Linked DNA regions of Oryzias latipes. The protein of the gene in region 1 interacts with the protein of each later gene in a biochemical or structural test. Links are inferred from orthologs where the notes say so. Each region holds a gene or a part of one and is shown on either strand. Other genes may lie near its edges.

The links.
Region 2: the proteins of chek2 (region 1) and ppp2r5a form a complex in vitro, tested with the Homo sapiens proteins (2 studies listed by BioGRID and IntAct, with this or other methods). The link is inferred for Oryzias latipes from reciprocal best matches to the Homo sapiens genes CHEK2 and PPP2R5A.
Region 3: of the proteins of chek2 (region 1) and atm, one has a biochemical effect on the other in vitro, tested with the Homo sapiens proteins (6 studies listed by BioGRID, with this or other methods). The link is inferred for Oryzias latipes from reciprocal best matches to the Homo sapiens genes CHEK2 and ATM.
Region 4: of the proteins of chek2 (region 1) and atr, one has a biochemical effect on the other in vitro, tested with the Homo sapiens proteins (2 studies listed by BioGRID). The link is inferred for Oryzias latipes from reciprocal best matches to the Homo sapiens genes CHEK2 and ATR.

Annotation. Positions count from the first base shown.
Region 1 is NC_019867.2:29,877,143-29,881,139, forward strand, and holds the start of chek2 (serine/threonine-protein kinase Chk2), read right to left. Parts: upstream 2,863-3,997; 5' UTR 2,749-2,862; coding exon 2,729-2,748; intron 2,649-2,728; coding exon 2,374-2,648; intron 2,281-2,373; coding exon 2,156-2,280; intron 1-2,155. Other genes in the region: serologically defined colon cancer antigen 3 homolog, read left to right, coding at 3,135-3,177. UniProt on the Homo sapiens protein: Serine/threonine-protein kinase which is required for checkpoint-mediated cell cycle arrest, activation of DNA repair and apoptosis in response to the presence of DNA double-strand breaks.
Region 2 is NC_019882.2:6,251,900-6,255,360, forward strand, and holds part of ppp2r5a (serine/threonine-protein phosphatase 2A 56 kDa regulatory subunit alpha isoform), read right to left. Parts: intron 2,571-3,461; coding exon 2,511-2,570; intron 1,858-2,510; coding exon 1,749-1,857; intron 1,466-1,748; coding exon 1,412-1,465; intron 1,266-1,411; coding exon 1,215-1,265; intron 1,134-1,214; coding exon 1,014-1,133; intron 930-1,013; coding exon 802-929; intron 1-801. UniProt on the Homo sapiens protein: The B regulatory subunit might modulate substrate selectivity and catalytic activity, and might also direct the localization of the catalytic enzyme to a particular subcellular compartment.
Region 3 is NC_019871.2:24,894,328-24,897,890, reverse strand, and holds part of atm (serine-protein kinase ATM), read right to left. Parts: coding exon 3,551-3,563; intron 3,465-3,550; coding exon 3,359-3,464; intron 2,837-3,358; coding exon 2,678-2,836; intron 2,602-2,677; coding exon 2,493-2,601; intron 2,074-2,492; coding exon 1,985-2,073; intron 1,919-1,984; coding exon 1,816-1,918; intron 1,731-1,815; coding exon 1,582-1,730; intron 1,500-1,581; coding exon 1,395-1,499; intron 1,321-1,394; coding exon 1,201-1,320; intron 1,125-1,200; coding exon 893-1,124; intron 820-892; coding exon 670-819; intron 545-669; coding exon 425-544; intron 1-424.
Region 4 is NC_019880.2:5,842,349-5,846,670, forward strand, and holds the start of atr (serine/threonine-protein kinase ATR), read right to left. Parts: upstream 2,852-4,322; 5' UTR 2,716-2,851; coding exon 2,663-2,715; intron 2,552-2,662; coding exon 2,460-2,551; intron 1,237-2,459; coding exon 1,084-1,236; intron 998-1,083; coding exon 102-997; intron 1-101. Other genes in the region: plastin-1, read right to left, coding at 3,839-3,977, 4,085-4,218, 4,304-4,322. UniProt on the Homo sapiens protein: Serine/threonine protein kinase which activates checkpoint signaling upon genotoxic stresses such as ionizing radiation (IR), ultraviolet light (UV), or DNA replication stalling, thereby acting as a DNA damage sensor.

The DNA.
Region 1 (3,997 bases):
AGACACAGAAACACACAGGTGTGTGGTCAGACACAGAAACACACAGGTGTGTGGTCTGACACAGAAACTCACAGGTGTGTGGTCAGAAACAGATACACACAGGGAGGCGTTCAGACAAAGAAACACACAGGTGTGCGTTCAGACACAGAAACACACAGGTGTTTGGTCAGACACAGAAACACACAGGTGTGTGGTCCGACACAGAAACACACAGGTGTGTGGTCCGACACAGAAACAAACAGGTGTGTGGTCAGACACAGAACCGCACAGGTGTGCGTTCAGACAAAGAAACACACAGGTGTGCTGTCAGACACAGAAATACACAGGTGTGTGGTCAGACACAGAAACACACAGGTGTGCGGTCAGACACAGAAACACACAGGTGTGCGGTCAGACACAGAAACACACAGGTGTGTGGTCAGACACAGAAACCCACAGGTGTGTGGTCAGACACAGAAAAACAAAGCTTCGGTCAGACACAGAAACCCACAGGTGTGTGGTCAGACACAGAAAAACAAAGCTTCGGTCAGACACAGCAACACACAGGTGTGCGGTCAGACACAGAAACACACAGGTGTGCGGTCACACACAGAAACACACAGGTGTGTGGTCAGACACAGAAACAAACAGGTGTGCGGTCAAACACAGAAACACACAGGTGGGCGGTCAGACACAGAAACACACAGGTGGGCGGTCAGACACAGAAACACACAGGTGTGTGGTCAGACACAGAAACACACAGGTGTGTGGTCAGACACAGAAAAACAAAGATTCGGTCAGAAACACACAGGTGTATGGTCAGAAACAGAAACACACAGTTGTGTGTCAGACACAGAAACACACAGGTGTAGTCGGAGAGAGAAATACATGTGTTTGACCAGGAAGAGAAACACACAGGTGTGCAGCCAGACTAAGAAATGCACAGGTGTGCCATCAGACAGAGAAAGACACAAGCGTGCGGTCAGACAGAGATATAGACAGGAGTGTGATCAATCACACAAAAAAGTGGATACCATATAGAGCAGTGTTTCTCGACCAGTGTGCCGCAGCACACCAGTGTGCCGTGGGAGATGGTCAAGTGTGCCATGGGAAATTGCCCTCATTAACTGATCAAAAACATTTCCCATCTCCAGGATTTCAGCTCTGTGTTCAACCAAACAGGCCCTGATAAAACACTGAGGAGTTAGGAATATAAAAGATCGTAAAATACTTTTTCTTTGCGTTTATTTTATTTTATTAAAGACATTTTGATAAGAATGACGCAATTCAGCTGCACCTTCGGCTGTATTTTGGAAAAGTCCCGTCCCTTTACTGTATCCACCAATAATTCCTGGGGGCTTAATCACATGTCATCAGTCTGACCAATCAGAAGTGCTTAAAGTCTTCACTTCCTTGTCCCGATTAAGCTCATAAAGTCGCTCAGTTCTAACAAAAATACCAGCTAAAGCTCGTCTTTAGCGGTGTAGCTTTCCACAGAATCCGGTATCAGACCGTGGAACAAGTGAACAAAACAATGAAGCTCCGAAAAGCGATCTTCGGCCGTTTTATGCACTACATCTCCCATGATGCATCGGTTTGTGAGAGTGACAGCGCACAAGGAGATCTGTTGTTAAACGTCTTGAAACCAACGAACACACATCAAACTGTTTTTAAATCTTCTAACTTAACTTTTATTGCATCTTTAAGAAAAAACAGCTGCAGTTTCCAGCTTTTTCTGCCACAATTATCTCAAAAATGCATGTGAGATTGTGCAGGGGCTGTAGATCAATACAGACTACGAGTTTCTCCTTTTTTTTTTTTTTGGATGCTGGTGTGCCGCGGGATTTTTTTTAAGGTTAAAGTGTGCCGTGGCTCAGAAAAGGTTAAAAAACACTGATATAAAGAGACAGACAGGTGTTTGGTCAGACAGAGATCAGATAAGAAACAGACAGTGCAGTCAAACACGGAAATAGACAGGTGTGAGATAAAACAGAGACAGACTGCTGTGTGGTTAAATGGAGATAGACAGGTGTGCAGCTAACCAAAGAGACAGCCAGATGTTTGGTCAGAGAGAGAGAGAGACGGGTGTTTGGTCAGAGAGACAGACGGGTATCATTGAGAGACAACCTGTCTGTGGTAAGACAGACAGGTTGGTACGCAGCAGCTCGGCTCTCACTCTGAAGATCCTGAAGTGTTTCTTGCTGTAGATTCTGAACTTTCTGGAACCCCTCTCTTCCGGGTCATCCAGGACGTAGTTACATGTGGAATCCCGTCCAAACAGGTACTGGTCCGCAATGCAGTCTGGAACCCTCAAACACAGACCAGGTTCTCAGTTAGGTCTAGAATCAAAGACAGCATCTGAACCGTTCTGTGGGGTGACGGCTGGAGAATCACCGTGGCTCCTGAAGCCTTTGGCCATGGGCAGCAGGCGGCCCCAGGGTTGTGGTTCTGGTTCTTGCTCCTCCGGGACAGAAGCGAGTGTGACAGGAATGGTGTCCACGCTGCTCAGAGTCCCAGACCCGCTGGAAGACTGACTGCCTGAAGTGGGCCCGCTGGACGAACCGGACCCTGGCTGAGACTGGGACTGAGACCTCACCTGAGAGGGGGACATAGTGGACTGGGTCTGGGACGTGCCCTCCACCTCAGCCGTCTCCGCGGACATTGTGGACCTGCAGAACCAGATAAAGAACCTCTGAGTCTTCCCGTATCTTCTATCCTTTCACCAAGACAGAACCCACTTGAGCAGGACCTTTTGGACCAGATCTGCATGTGGAACTCTGCGCGGGAAGACCCATGCTTTCCAGGGAAAAAACAACCGGAACCGGAACCCAAGCAGTTCACAGCTGCAACCGCGTCCACACACGGAGCTGGTCGAGCACTCGGTACTGGGCCACACTCACCGCTGCTTCTTCCGGGTTTTAAAAGAACCGAACCTGTCCAAACACGACACGTGCGGTGCAGCTCCTCTGCAGGACTCTTCGAGCTGACGTCACGTGCCACCCGCAGCCAGTCAGGAGTCACAGATCAGTCACGTGACGGTGGAGTTGGAGGGGGGATTTCCGGGTCTGAACCGGACCAGCTTTTGCGACATGACAGTGTGGCTCTGCTAACCCGACCGAACCAAACCGAACCGAACCGAGCTGCCTGTGGCTGACATGTCCGGCCAGAGGCGCGGAAAGACCTTGATCATCACCGACGGTGAGAGCTTCGGTCCGGTTCTGATCTAAACTCGGATTCTGACGGTTTGGGTTCTCGTGAAACAGTGACGTCACTGATCTTCACGCAGAAGTTAGCTTCTGATGTAACTATGAAGGAGAAAGTTCAGGAACCGACAGTCGGTTATCTGCTGCCCAGAATCTGACACGTGACACACATGATCACATCTCCAGATCCAGTCTTCACCTCCAGAACCTTCTTAGAAGTCCTCCCCCAGGATCTGTCCTCCTTCCATCCCAACATGATGAAACAGCTTGAAGCTGCTTCCTCTCATCTGGTCTCCTGATCACATGCAGATCCACCTGCGTTTGTCCGGACTTGGGACAAGCACGTGAAAGCTCTGGACTGTGTTTCCTTGTAGTTAAATTATTTTTCCCACAGCGTACTTCTGTGATGTCTAATGTGTCTTGAATACCCAGTTTCCCCTTCTGCATTTTTGGTGTTCACCTTTCTGCACATCCCTTCAGGGGTCGCCACAGCGAATCAGCTTTCACTGATCCGCACAGGTGGAGACTTGGATAAGAGGCGAAACGTCTTCTAACTTTAAAAACCAAGTCCAGATGACATCCCCTAAACCTACTACAATGGAACCAACCTGGATGAATGAGAGTCTTCATAGACACAGGTGGAGATTGTTACACCGGATGGCCTTAAAGACACAACCTTGTATTTTACCCGGGCTGGGGACCGGCACAGGGAGACCCAGCCTTGGGCCCTGTCGTGTCTGCATACTTGGGCAGTAGCAGGAAAGGCCTTACCCAAGGACCCACTCTGGGAATCAAACCCTCGTTTTCCTTTAACA
Region 2 (3,461 bases), on another chromosome or scaffold:
AAACAAGAGAGACGTGTAAAAATGTTCATGTCTGTCTGAAAAAAAATGTATAAAATGTGCAGTGAGGGGTTTTAGAGCCTTAAAACTTCTGTAATCCTAATTCACAGATTAAACCAAACGCATGTTACTTTTAGAAAGCAATTCCCAGGATAAACTACAGACTGCTGGATATCAGAATGTATATTTTTTTCCTGGACTTTAAAGGCCTATTAGCAATTTTAAGCTACATGTTTACGAAGCAGATACAGTTGGTCAGATTCTTAACTTTAAAATAATTATCAATAAGAAGTTACAAGATTCTGTTTTTTTTTTAAGAAAAAACTTGTGTGATCAAATAAACACTTTTACATTTTTTAGAAAGGGACTCTTTAAATGTCGTCATTTTTCTTTTTAATTAAATCAAAACATTAAAATCCAACTTTTGCACATACTAGAGCTTCCGAATTTTAGTCATTCATGATCATTTTCACCTAAAATTATTAAGAAAGTGGTAAAAAGAAGGTGAAAATGCCTGAACGAAGGAGAAAGTTTATGGAAAAATGTTTTTTTATTTCACCTTACACATTCATACTAAACAACCCGAGCCAAGCCGTGCTGGGGCACCATTTCGTCGGCAGTGTGTACATGTAAACACAGGCTTAGCAGTTCTTGCAGATATAGCAACACATTTCCCTGCAGGCAAAATAAACCAGGAGTGTCTGATGATGCCAGACTTCTCGAAATGTTTTTCTCCTTTTTTTATTTATGCAGTAAAATGCTGTAATTCTGAACATTTTATGGGTATTATATGGATGAACATACGGATTCCAGTGCTCCTTAGAGATTCTATACAGGCTGCCAAACATGATGGGGAGAATCTTGTCGATGTTCTCCTCGATGAGGCTGAGAATGTAGTCATTGTTCCAGAAGTACAGAGCGCGCTCTGCTACCTGTGAGGACAGGAGAGACGGGATCAAATTTGTAAAGCATTTGAGGTTTGAATAAAACCAAAAAACAAAAAAAAATGAGAGTACCTGAAAGTGTGCATTAGCCACACACTTAGAAATCTGTTTGAACAACGGCTCCTGGACTTTTTTGAATTGGGTTGGTTCAACGACGTCCAAAATCTCTTCGATTTCACCCAGGAACATCACCTACAACACATAATAAAAAGAAAATAATTTTTCACAGCAGTCGCAAAAATATGGGAGTGCACATGAAAAGGAGCTAAATACCTCCTTCTGGCTGCAGGTCTTGGGCCAGTACTTCAGCAAACCCCGGATCACCTGCAACGAAAAGCAGGGGATTTCTATTCTGCATTTATTTGAGTGGGTGGTTTTTCCATCATTCACTACAACATTTCTGCGGTGCAGACTAATCCAGAGCTGGAGATTCTGTGCATCGAGTGGGAGGGAGGGTAAAAAAGATGTACCGGCTCTGTGAGCGTGGGATCCTTCTCCAGGAACTGGACCACGCAGTACGCCAGCTGAGCGGCACAAAGGACAAAATTAATAAGTAAACAAAGGCTGTTTTACAGAAGAAAAAGGACATTAAAGAGAAAAAAACGAAACCTATAAGGATGCAGTTGGATTTATGCAAATATTTAAATCAGTTTTCACTGTGACCTCAAATAAAACTCTCCTTAAAAAAGCTGCATAATCGAACCGATGCATATCCTTTGTGCAAGACAACAGACTTAAAAGACTTCAAGATAAAGATGCAAAGCAATCTGGTGCTGTTACAGAAATTAAAAGAAAAGCTGCTTCTACCTGTGCGTGGAAAAGGGCCAGGCTCTTGGCTGTATGCAGCGGGATGAGCACCTTCATCAGGAACTGCTTGTGCTCAGCCTTCAGAGGCAACGCAAACCCATTGATGATACTAGAAACAAGCAGACAAGAGAGGATTGTAAGTTACAGAACACACAGAGAAAACCAGGGCTTTAAACGAGCAATGAAAAGGAAATATTATAAAAGGGTTTTTAAAGCTGTTCCAAAAAAACAACAGTGAGGGAACGCAGTAACCATGCACTAACCTTACTTTTTTTTTGAAAAATTGAGGAAGTGGCAACTATAAAAACAAAGTTCCAATGAGGAAAATAGTGTTTTATTTGGTCAAAAAAAACTTCTAATAATTTGAAGTTTGGCCTAAAATCACAAAGGTTAATAAATTCCCTCCAGGTCACAATGGTTAAACGTTGAACTCTGCCTCGACTTTCGACTGCATCCCAAAGATGAAGTCTTGCTTAAGACATGGGGATTATTTTTATAGATTGGACTAGACAGTGCCACAGTTATTATGAGAGCCTTTGAGCTTAACAGTAAATGCAACAATTTTTTATATACATTTTTGACTATGCTCTTATATATTTGCTGTATGGTTTTATTATGAGAAATAATAAATGTAAAAAAATAAAGAAAAAAAATGTTTATATCTGAAGAAAAGCAGCAAATGCACAGATTTTCAAAGTTGCACAGGTTTGTGTCTCTGATTTAAAAGCAACAATCAATCAAATAATCAATGGGGTTTGTTACCTTCCCAGAATTTCCAGTAGCTCAGCAACACCGTTGAAGTGCTCCGTTTCATATATGAACCTGCAGAGTCAGAGCAAAAGTCTACATTATCACAACGACACAATAACATTTCTGAATAAACCTGAAAATGAGGATCAAATTCGCCTGTATGCTCTCATATTGTTGAGAAATAGACCAAACAATATTTACAGTCTAATAAGCCACGCTTCATTTATTTTTCTCTGCAGGGGATACTGGTGTATCCCTGAACCGATGCAATGTACAAAGAGAGTCTGTCAACTGTGGCCCTATTTATATCCGCGGTGGCAGATGGTCAAAAACCGGTGTACCCGTTTTGCCACCTCGCTGGTTGGAAATGACATCAGGTGTCCCCTGTCTGGGTCTTGTACAGCTCTGTGTCACACGGCAACAGGAGCAGTAAAGCTGCAGCACGCCTGACCGAACACGGTTACCGCTGTCCTGACGCAAAAATGGAAAGTTAAAATACATGTTTGCATCCGCCACAAGCAGAAACTCGGACTCAAACTCTGCAGCAGCCCAACAGTGCTGCTGGTGTCTGCATTGAAAAAGCATTTTTTGTCCAAAAAAAAAAAAAGCCCTTTGTAAACAAGACAGCGTCTTAGGACTAGAGGAGATCATGAGCCAGCATGAGCGATAGCTGCACTGCCTCATTAATGAACCTGCTGTTCCGGCCTCAGCGTTTGACCATTCATTAAGGCTCGGCTCTGCAAAGTGTCCTGGTTCGACTGTCCCCAGAGAATGGGCTTCTGTGAAAGACTGAGTTCTTCCCCTCCCGATTTGAGTCCTTTTGTTGAAAACTGGCAGGAAGAAGTACAAAGAACAGGTTTGCTGGGTGTCTGCAGATTTACAGACGTTCCATTGAAAAATAGTTAAGACTTTTTCTTAAGAACACTTAAGAAAGAAATGCATCTACGTCCGTATGTAATGAAT
Region 3 (3,563 bases), on another chromosome or scaffold:
TACTGCGCGCTCTTTCTCAGAGACGGGAGCGCGTAGTTTTAGGCACGTCAATTCACAGGTTTCCAGCTGGTACAAACTCTGTGAAATAATAGATAATAGTAACTGATAGCGCTGGCGCAGATTTCTCTCTCTAAGCACTGCTACTACTGCGCGCCTCTGGCATCGTATCGCGCCCGAGAAGGACTGGTCTAATGAAAAAAAAACTATAATTAAAGATTTGTCTGCGAGCCACATGTGACCATCAAAAGAGCCATATATGGCTCGCGAGCCATAGGTTCCCGACCCCTGTTCTAGAAGGACAGAGACTTTTGAATATGGATTTAGTGTGAAAACTGTTGGTTTTTTTTTTTTTTTTTTGCCTGAAAACTGCTCTATTTTGATAAAACAAAGCCCAGTGTATGAAGAACCTCTTTTTCCATCTTACCCTCTCCAAGTATTTTTCCAGGATAACTCCAGGACTTTCCAGACAGGTTTCAGCCAGCCAGTTCCCACAAAGTCTGAGGCTCTCGGTGTACGCAGGAACCACATCAGGGTCAAAATCCACCTGACCAACACATACAGTTTGATAACAAAGTTTATCTTCTTTTATTCCCCTGGAATTATTTTTTTAAATTCTGAGGTTTAAACTGAGCATTTTTCCTGCTTTACATTAGAAAATGTATGTTTGACCTTGTCCTCTAGACTGTGAATCATCTGTCTCAGCTGGCCCAGAGCCAGACCCTGCTCTCCCTTTGCCCAGGAAACCTGGGCCTCCTGCAGCTGCCACGAGCTCCCCGCTCCCCCCTGTATCTTCATCTGGTGGACCGCACGCTCTGCAAGCTGGAGAATAGCGAGCCTTTAGCAGGAAACCTTTCTGGCTTGAAATCTGTTAGGATGCACGTTTTGCTTCTACCTGGGTGTTTCCGGCCTTCCGAGCCAAACAGCAGAGCTCCATGAGATGGTCCGTGAGCGCAGAACTGAGGTTCGTGCTGTTCAAGTTTCCCAATTTGGATAAGAGAGCGTGTTGAGCCACAGAGCGCACCGCCAGTATGGGCTCCACCACAGCGAAGTCGCTGTCGGCTAGCAAATGGGAGTGCTGACGCCACTGACGGCAGATGTTGCTCAGAGCCAGATCAGAGAAAGGCCTGGTGCAAAACGGAACAGACGGTTCAGCGCCACCTTTCACTCCTGTTATCACAGGAGCTTCATAATCAAACTGACCTGGAGAAGAGTTGCTTGAAACTCTCCAGCTCCTTGATGCTCTGCAGGTTTCTGAGGGCTGGATACAGAGAAGACACGGCCTCTAGACTGTCCCTGCAGAGCTCCTCCACTTCAGCACGCCTGCGGCAGACACACAAGCTGTAGGAAGCCACTGCTACCAGCAACAACATGACATCCGCAGGGCGTTTCCATACCGGGCCTGTTTCAGCGTTTCATCAAACATGGAGAACTCTTTGTCCCTCAGTGCTTGCAGAGAACAAAAGATGGATTCATGAAAGCCAGGGACGGATTTCTCACTTCTGTTATGGGGGAATAGATTTAGACAAACATGTTACCAAGACAAGAACAGTAGATGTCACTGTGAGAGGTACACTCCCCTACCTCTCTGCTAGCTCACAGTCCCACTGGCTGTTCCTCCAAGCAGCTTGGAAGCGAAGTTCTCGCAGCTCAGCTCCCCACTCCACCCCCTCACTCTCCAGACCTCTCATGTAAGTGGCCAGGATGTTGCTCAGACCGAAGTTCTGCAGGCCCTGTTTGACATTTGGGACGTCCGGATGACAGGGATTTCACAATAAGAGAAAAGATTCTGTGTAGGCTCCTTTTGATATATTTTACCTCCACAATTCCAACTTGTCGAGTGACCTCAGGTAGAGTGGTGTGAAGGTCGTATGAGGTCAGAGCTTTTCCCCACAAAGCCTCATGTTCATAGGTTCGAATCCTGTGTGGAACAGTTGTAAATAAAACATCAACAATGCGGCAAATACAGCCAATATTTGGCTTCTACCTTATCAACGGGCTGTTCATCGTCTCTCCTCCACAGCCGTACAGACTGTCCGGGTCGCCGATGCTGCGATAAACTTCAATCAGCAGCTCCTACAAACAATAAAAAAAAATAAAACAGATTTAAGTCGATTAAAGACCCACTCCAATGAAAATGGTGTTTTTAACATGTTCTTAGGGGCCTTTTTCTGGTGATTGTGGACAGAAAAATTGACCTTAAAATTGCATTTAGGAGTTTTTCTTTAGGTAAATTGTTGTGAATCAGGAGCAGAGTTTATTTATTGCATAGAAAATATGCTGGTAGGACCACAAGCTCCCTGCTCTGCTTCATTCAAATGTCTAGACAAATAAATCCATGTATGTTTTTGTTTTCCCCGTCTGAGTTGGAATCTGGCTCAAAACTGCACAGCTGGATAGCTTTATTTCTGACAGAATAAATATATCAAACAAGATATTTCTGTTACAGATTTGACACATTTTTATAAATGATGAAATATAAATAACTTTCACACCTGCAGATTGATGCTGACGTCTTCCACACTCTTCTCCGTCAGACTGGAGATGGTGAGGGTCTGACTGTTCGCTTCAAAGTTAATTTTGCGTGATGCTCTGGACTTGGTTCTGCACATTTGATCAAGAAATAAAAAAAAAAAAAAAAAGAGAGTTAGAAAAAATAAAATCAAACCTCCAAGCATACCTGCAAGTTTCCTCCATGTTGGCTTTGATCTTGTCAACGTAGATCTCTGTGTAGAGCAGAGCGGTGAAGTGCGCCAAGCAGGACTGAGCAGCTTTGGCCACAACCAGGTAGTTCAAGTCCAGCCAAAAGTTTGAGTCACACACTGTTCCACCGGAGTTCCTGGACAGAGGGGAGACGACATCCTCATGAAGACAGTACGTCAGTTTGAAGACACCAGCGTCCTCACTATGTCGAGCTGGTACAGTTTTCACTCCGTAGTCGCGGAGGTTAGGGGCTGCAAATAAGCAGGTTTTTAGAAGTTTCCATCTTTTTGGGGGCCCTAAAGCAGGTCCTCACTCCATCATCAACACCTCAAAACTTGCCATGGTGCTGAAAGAAGCTACAAGAAGCAGAGCTGTCTGGACATCTTTGCTCATCCTGTGCTACCAACAACCATCTCCGTATTCGACATGCTAGAGACTTTTGGATTGAATCAGGATAGGATATGTTCGGGTCAGAGGAACCAAGCTGTGACGGGGTTAAGGGTTTTCAAATGTTTCTAGAGAAAGCTTTCAAGAGATGTTGTCAGTTTATACCAAAGTGCATGAGGAATGTGGCAGCATCATGATGGAAAAATTCTCTGAAGGTGGCGTGTCCACAGTCAAAGAGTGAGGAGAGCAGGAGTGCGGTGTTACAGCTTACCTCTTAGAATCAAGCGGTCTCTGCTGATGTCTCAGGTAGTCGATAGCAGCCAGCATGGTCCGCAGAGAGCTCTTGTCACATGAGTTCTGAGTGGGAGCGGGAGACTCTGAGGAAAAAAGATAGACAGGACGCAATCCCACCTGATGCTAAGGAAAATTCATCACCGTTTAGCTTTTTCAGGAAGAACTGTACCATTATCTGGGAT
Region 4 (4,322 bases), on another chromosome or scaffold:
TCCTTTCCAGTTATGAAGATGTCTGGACTTTTGTTAGTATTGTGGTACTCTTTATGAAAGGAACAAATCAACAGAACAGGAGTTGAGCAGTAAATGAATACCTCCGCCTGATTGTTGGTCCCGACGGTCAGCGCCAGCGTGCGGCAGACCTCCGCGACCCGCTGCTTCCTCAGCAGTGCCGTGCTCTCGCAAACAGGAGCAGAAGACAGAGAGAAGCTGAAGAGCAGGCAGAGAGATTCAGCAACCTCTGCTCCTAACCTGACATGACCTCCTCCAAGAGCACAGACGCACTCAAACAGCTGCGTGAGATGCATGGGCTCAAAGTGGGAGGGAGGAGCTTGAGGAGGCTGGAACACGCAGCTGATCAGCTTCAGGAGTTCTCCTTCATACGGCCGTTCCTCCTTCTCCGTGTAGGAGTGCGTTTCCAGCAAATGGAAAAAGGCAATAAAGAATTCGTGGCTCATCATTTCGGGAAACCCCTTCCACTCAACCAGTTCCCTCAACATCACCATGGAGAGCCTCTTTAGCCTGATGTTGCCATTGGCCAAAATGAAACAGGCCGTCTCCCAGGCCAACGCGAGGTCCTGCCGAGACATGACCCCCCTCAGAACGTCAGTTATGATGTGGAGGGTTGCAGCAGTCAGGGACTCTAAGGCAGCAGGCGAGGAGAGTACGAGGGAGGAACAGCTGAGATAGGAGGAGGAGCACGTGGGCGGGAAGCGGAAGGGCTCCAGCAGTACGGGCCATCGGCTCTGCATCTGGATCCCCTGACCGGGTCCTCGCTCAGCCAGGAAACTGATGTGAGAATACAGGACGCCGCTGAGGTCCCGGGCCAAAAAAAGGAGCTCCTGAGTGAGGCGGCTGAAAATGAAAGGCACCCTGACCCTCAGAGTGTGAAGTAAAGAGCACAACACCGCAGAGACGCGTCCGTGGATCACATCACAGCTCGGAGCTGCCGCCACCCGAAGGAAGCGAGCAGCGACCCACCGACTAAAGTCTGAAATCAACAAGTCAGGAAAGAAAAAAGTTACTATTGATTATGCTTTTATTGAGAATTTGCTAGTTGTTTTAAGGATTTCTTACCCACAGAGCTTTGCGTGGCGTCTGGGTATTCAGCAGGGTGGCAAGCAGGGTTTGCAAACATCAAAGAAGAGGATTTGACTAAATGCTGCACAAAGTCCAGCAGCATGACGCACGCCGGCTCCGAGCTGGACTTCTTACTTAGACCTAAAGCAACTGGAACAACAGAGACTTTTAATGTTTCTTCAAACGAATCAGACTGAACATCTGTACAGAACAGAGTGAACTTAAAAAAGTGTAGTAAAAAAAGGGAAAAGACATTTTCTCAGCTTCAATCTCCAAAATATATTTTATCAAAAGTATATGATAGCATATTTCGTTAAGCGGATTTCAAACCTAATAAAGAAGAATGGCTGATAATGGCAGGAAGCTCCATGTATTTGTGTTTATTGAGACAACCAATATTTTTTTATTTACTTTTACAGATGAAAACACTCCCGATCAATCATTTTTGATTAGAAATAATATATTTTTCCAGTATAAGAATACACATTTATTCCCTTGATGTATGAATTTATTTCCAATTATGACAAAAAATTTTTTTTTTGGCATTCAAGTAAAAGCTAAAGCAACAGTTATTTTGACTATAGTACATAAATTAATATTATTTTAGATAAATTGCACATTTGCAACAACAGGCATCTCTGAGAAAAAACCCAACCTGTTGGCGTCTCCAGTATGAAGAGGCTTTAATCTATGCAACAAAGTTATTTCCAGTATTTTTGATCTTATGACTGCTAAACTATTAAACCACTACTATGAGTTCAAAAAAATAAAACATTATTGAACACAAAAGTCACATAAATACTATTTCTGAGTTTTAAATGTAGTCTTTTTTGTTGACCACTTAGAGGTAAAGGAATTGACCCTTCAGGCTTAAAATATCAAGATATGCCAAAAAACAAACAACCGTTCACTAGCACCACATATTGTTAGTGCCAGAAATAAAAACATTTTGGAAAATAAAATGCTTTTTGGTAAAAAGTATAACCTTCATCACATTTTCGTTAGATTTCTAAAAAAAAACAACCTCTTCTTAAGTGTCTTTTTCCCCCCATGATGAACAAGTACACTAAATAGCTAAATTTTTGACAGTTTTAACCATCATGATGTAAACAGGATAATCTGACTTCCTTTCCTGTATAACTTCGTTTCCCCCCCTAATTTCTTCCTAATAATCGGATTCTGTTTGTTCTTTAAACTTAGAAATTTTGTTTTAAAAAGAACACAGTCAATGGCAGTTACAAAAAAATAAAGAAACTTCAAAAGCGACCATATTTCAGTCTGAATGGCATACATATTTATATCAGTGATTTTAGAGGTTTTTTTGTGTCAACGCGTCAGATCTGATATTATTCGCAGTTTTCAAGTTGACTTACCGACATCCACATCGGTCAGGATCCTGTCTATGAACTGACACAGGATGCGTCGAGGTTTCTGCACCGTCTGGTCGTACTCAGCAGCGCCAGCACTGAAACAAACCATCGTTTGTGGCTTCAGCAGATACAGTCGCCAACTTGAACTTGTCTTTTTACCGGTATTGATTAGCCTTTTAGCTAATCTTAGTTTTTGCAGGACTCACCTTGCTAGCTCCTGAAGAGCCGGTATCATCGCGGACATCTCAAGTCCGTCCATTTCTGACGTCCTTAGCGCCCACTTTTATGGGTGCCCCACGCGTTAAGAAAAGTTAAAATACAAGCAATACGCGACACCCATCACATCCAGTCCCGTTCCAAAACTTTCGCTCCAAAATGACGTGTTCTGTTTTCATACGGAAGCTCTCGAGGTCCAAAACACACGAAAACGTTTTTAAATGGGAAAGGCGCCCTCTAGCGGAAAAGGCTTGTCTTAAAAAAAGTGTTTTACTCTCACGAAACCGCTCCAAAAGTATGATATTTTTTTCAAAGAGTAAAAGGACAACCATAGTATTTAAATACTCTGTAAACAACAAAAAGTCGATAATCTAAAAATCTAAAACTTCTGGTAATTTTTTAAACCTAAATACAGTTAGTAAAGAAACAGAAAAGTAACTTTTGGAGTCAATTTTTGCTTTTTTTTTCCTCTCAAACTTTTAAAATATCTCACCCATACCTATTTTTACCAATGTATCAGAACCACAACGACTGATTGAAAATACTGGCACACCCAGGAAATGGGTTATTTCAAGACTACACCATTAATATTCCCTGTTAAAAAAAGTTACAAAAATATAAAAATAAAAGCAGACTGCCATTCAAAAACAACTGTGTAAATTAATACCAACACAATTGGTATTTTCTGTATGTAATCATTGCCTAAATACTTTTGTTCTTAATTCTCATAATATCATTATGTCATCAAATGAGACACTGGACACAGGTGTATTATTTTTATTTTGTATTTTAATCACCAATTAAATAACAACACTCAATAGAAATAGACTTACAAAAACTGTTTTAAATTCATGTTGTAAACAAAAAAACAAAAAAAGAAATTAACCATCTAAAGAACAATACGACAAACAAAATTCAATCTACTTAGACACGAAAAACAAGGTAAATGTTCCCAACATTCATGGATATATCACAAGGGGGCGTTTATTTTTCTGATTTCTGACATTTTTCAGTGGTACAGCAATACCAGACATAAAGCAAATAAAACTGAGATCAGCAAATTAAAAAACATGAATAGTCTAGTGAAGCTGCTGATGAGGAACACTTGATGTCTGGTGATTTTAGCAAACAAATGTTTTTTTCCTTTTTTTGTTCAAAATGTTTTTTCACTTGGTGGTTTTTTTGTAACCATACCCCATGAGACAAGCAAAGAGTGTCATCACCATCTTGGGATTTACTTCCACCAAATCATCAGGCAAAGCGTACACTCGAGCTCCGATCTTTCGGGCTAATGAGATTGCGTATCTGAGAGGAAAGCAAAAAAACAAAAAACAAAGGTCAGGTAAAAAGATTAAGGGGAAGAAAAACAACATAAAAAGCATAACAAAATTAACGAATGAGTAAGCGCTTACTTGGCATTGTCGAGTTTATCTTCATTGCTCATCTTTCCCCTGGCATCTTTCTTCACCATGTCCCATTTAACAGCGCCGGGAACGATGCAGTCGATCAGGTCAAACACCGGCATGCTGGTGCTGATCAGCTTGTCCTGCATAAACCAAGCAGCATAGATTCACTGACGTGCAGCAGGTGAGTTCAAATGCAGAATCTTCTAATTAAAAAAAACCACAAACCTTGAAGTTACTAATCTGT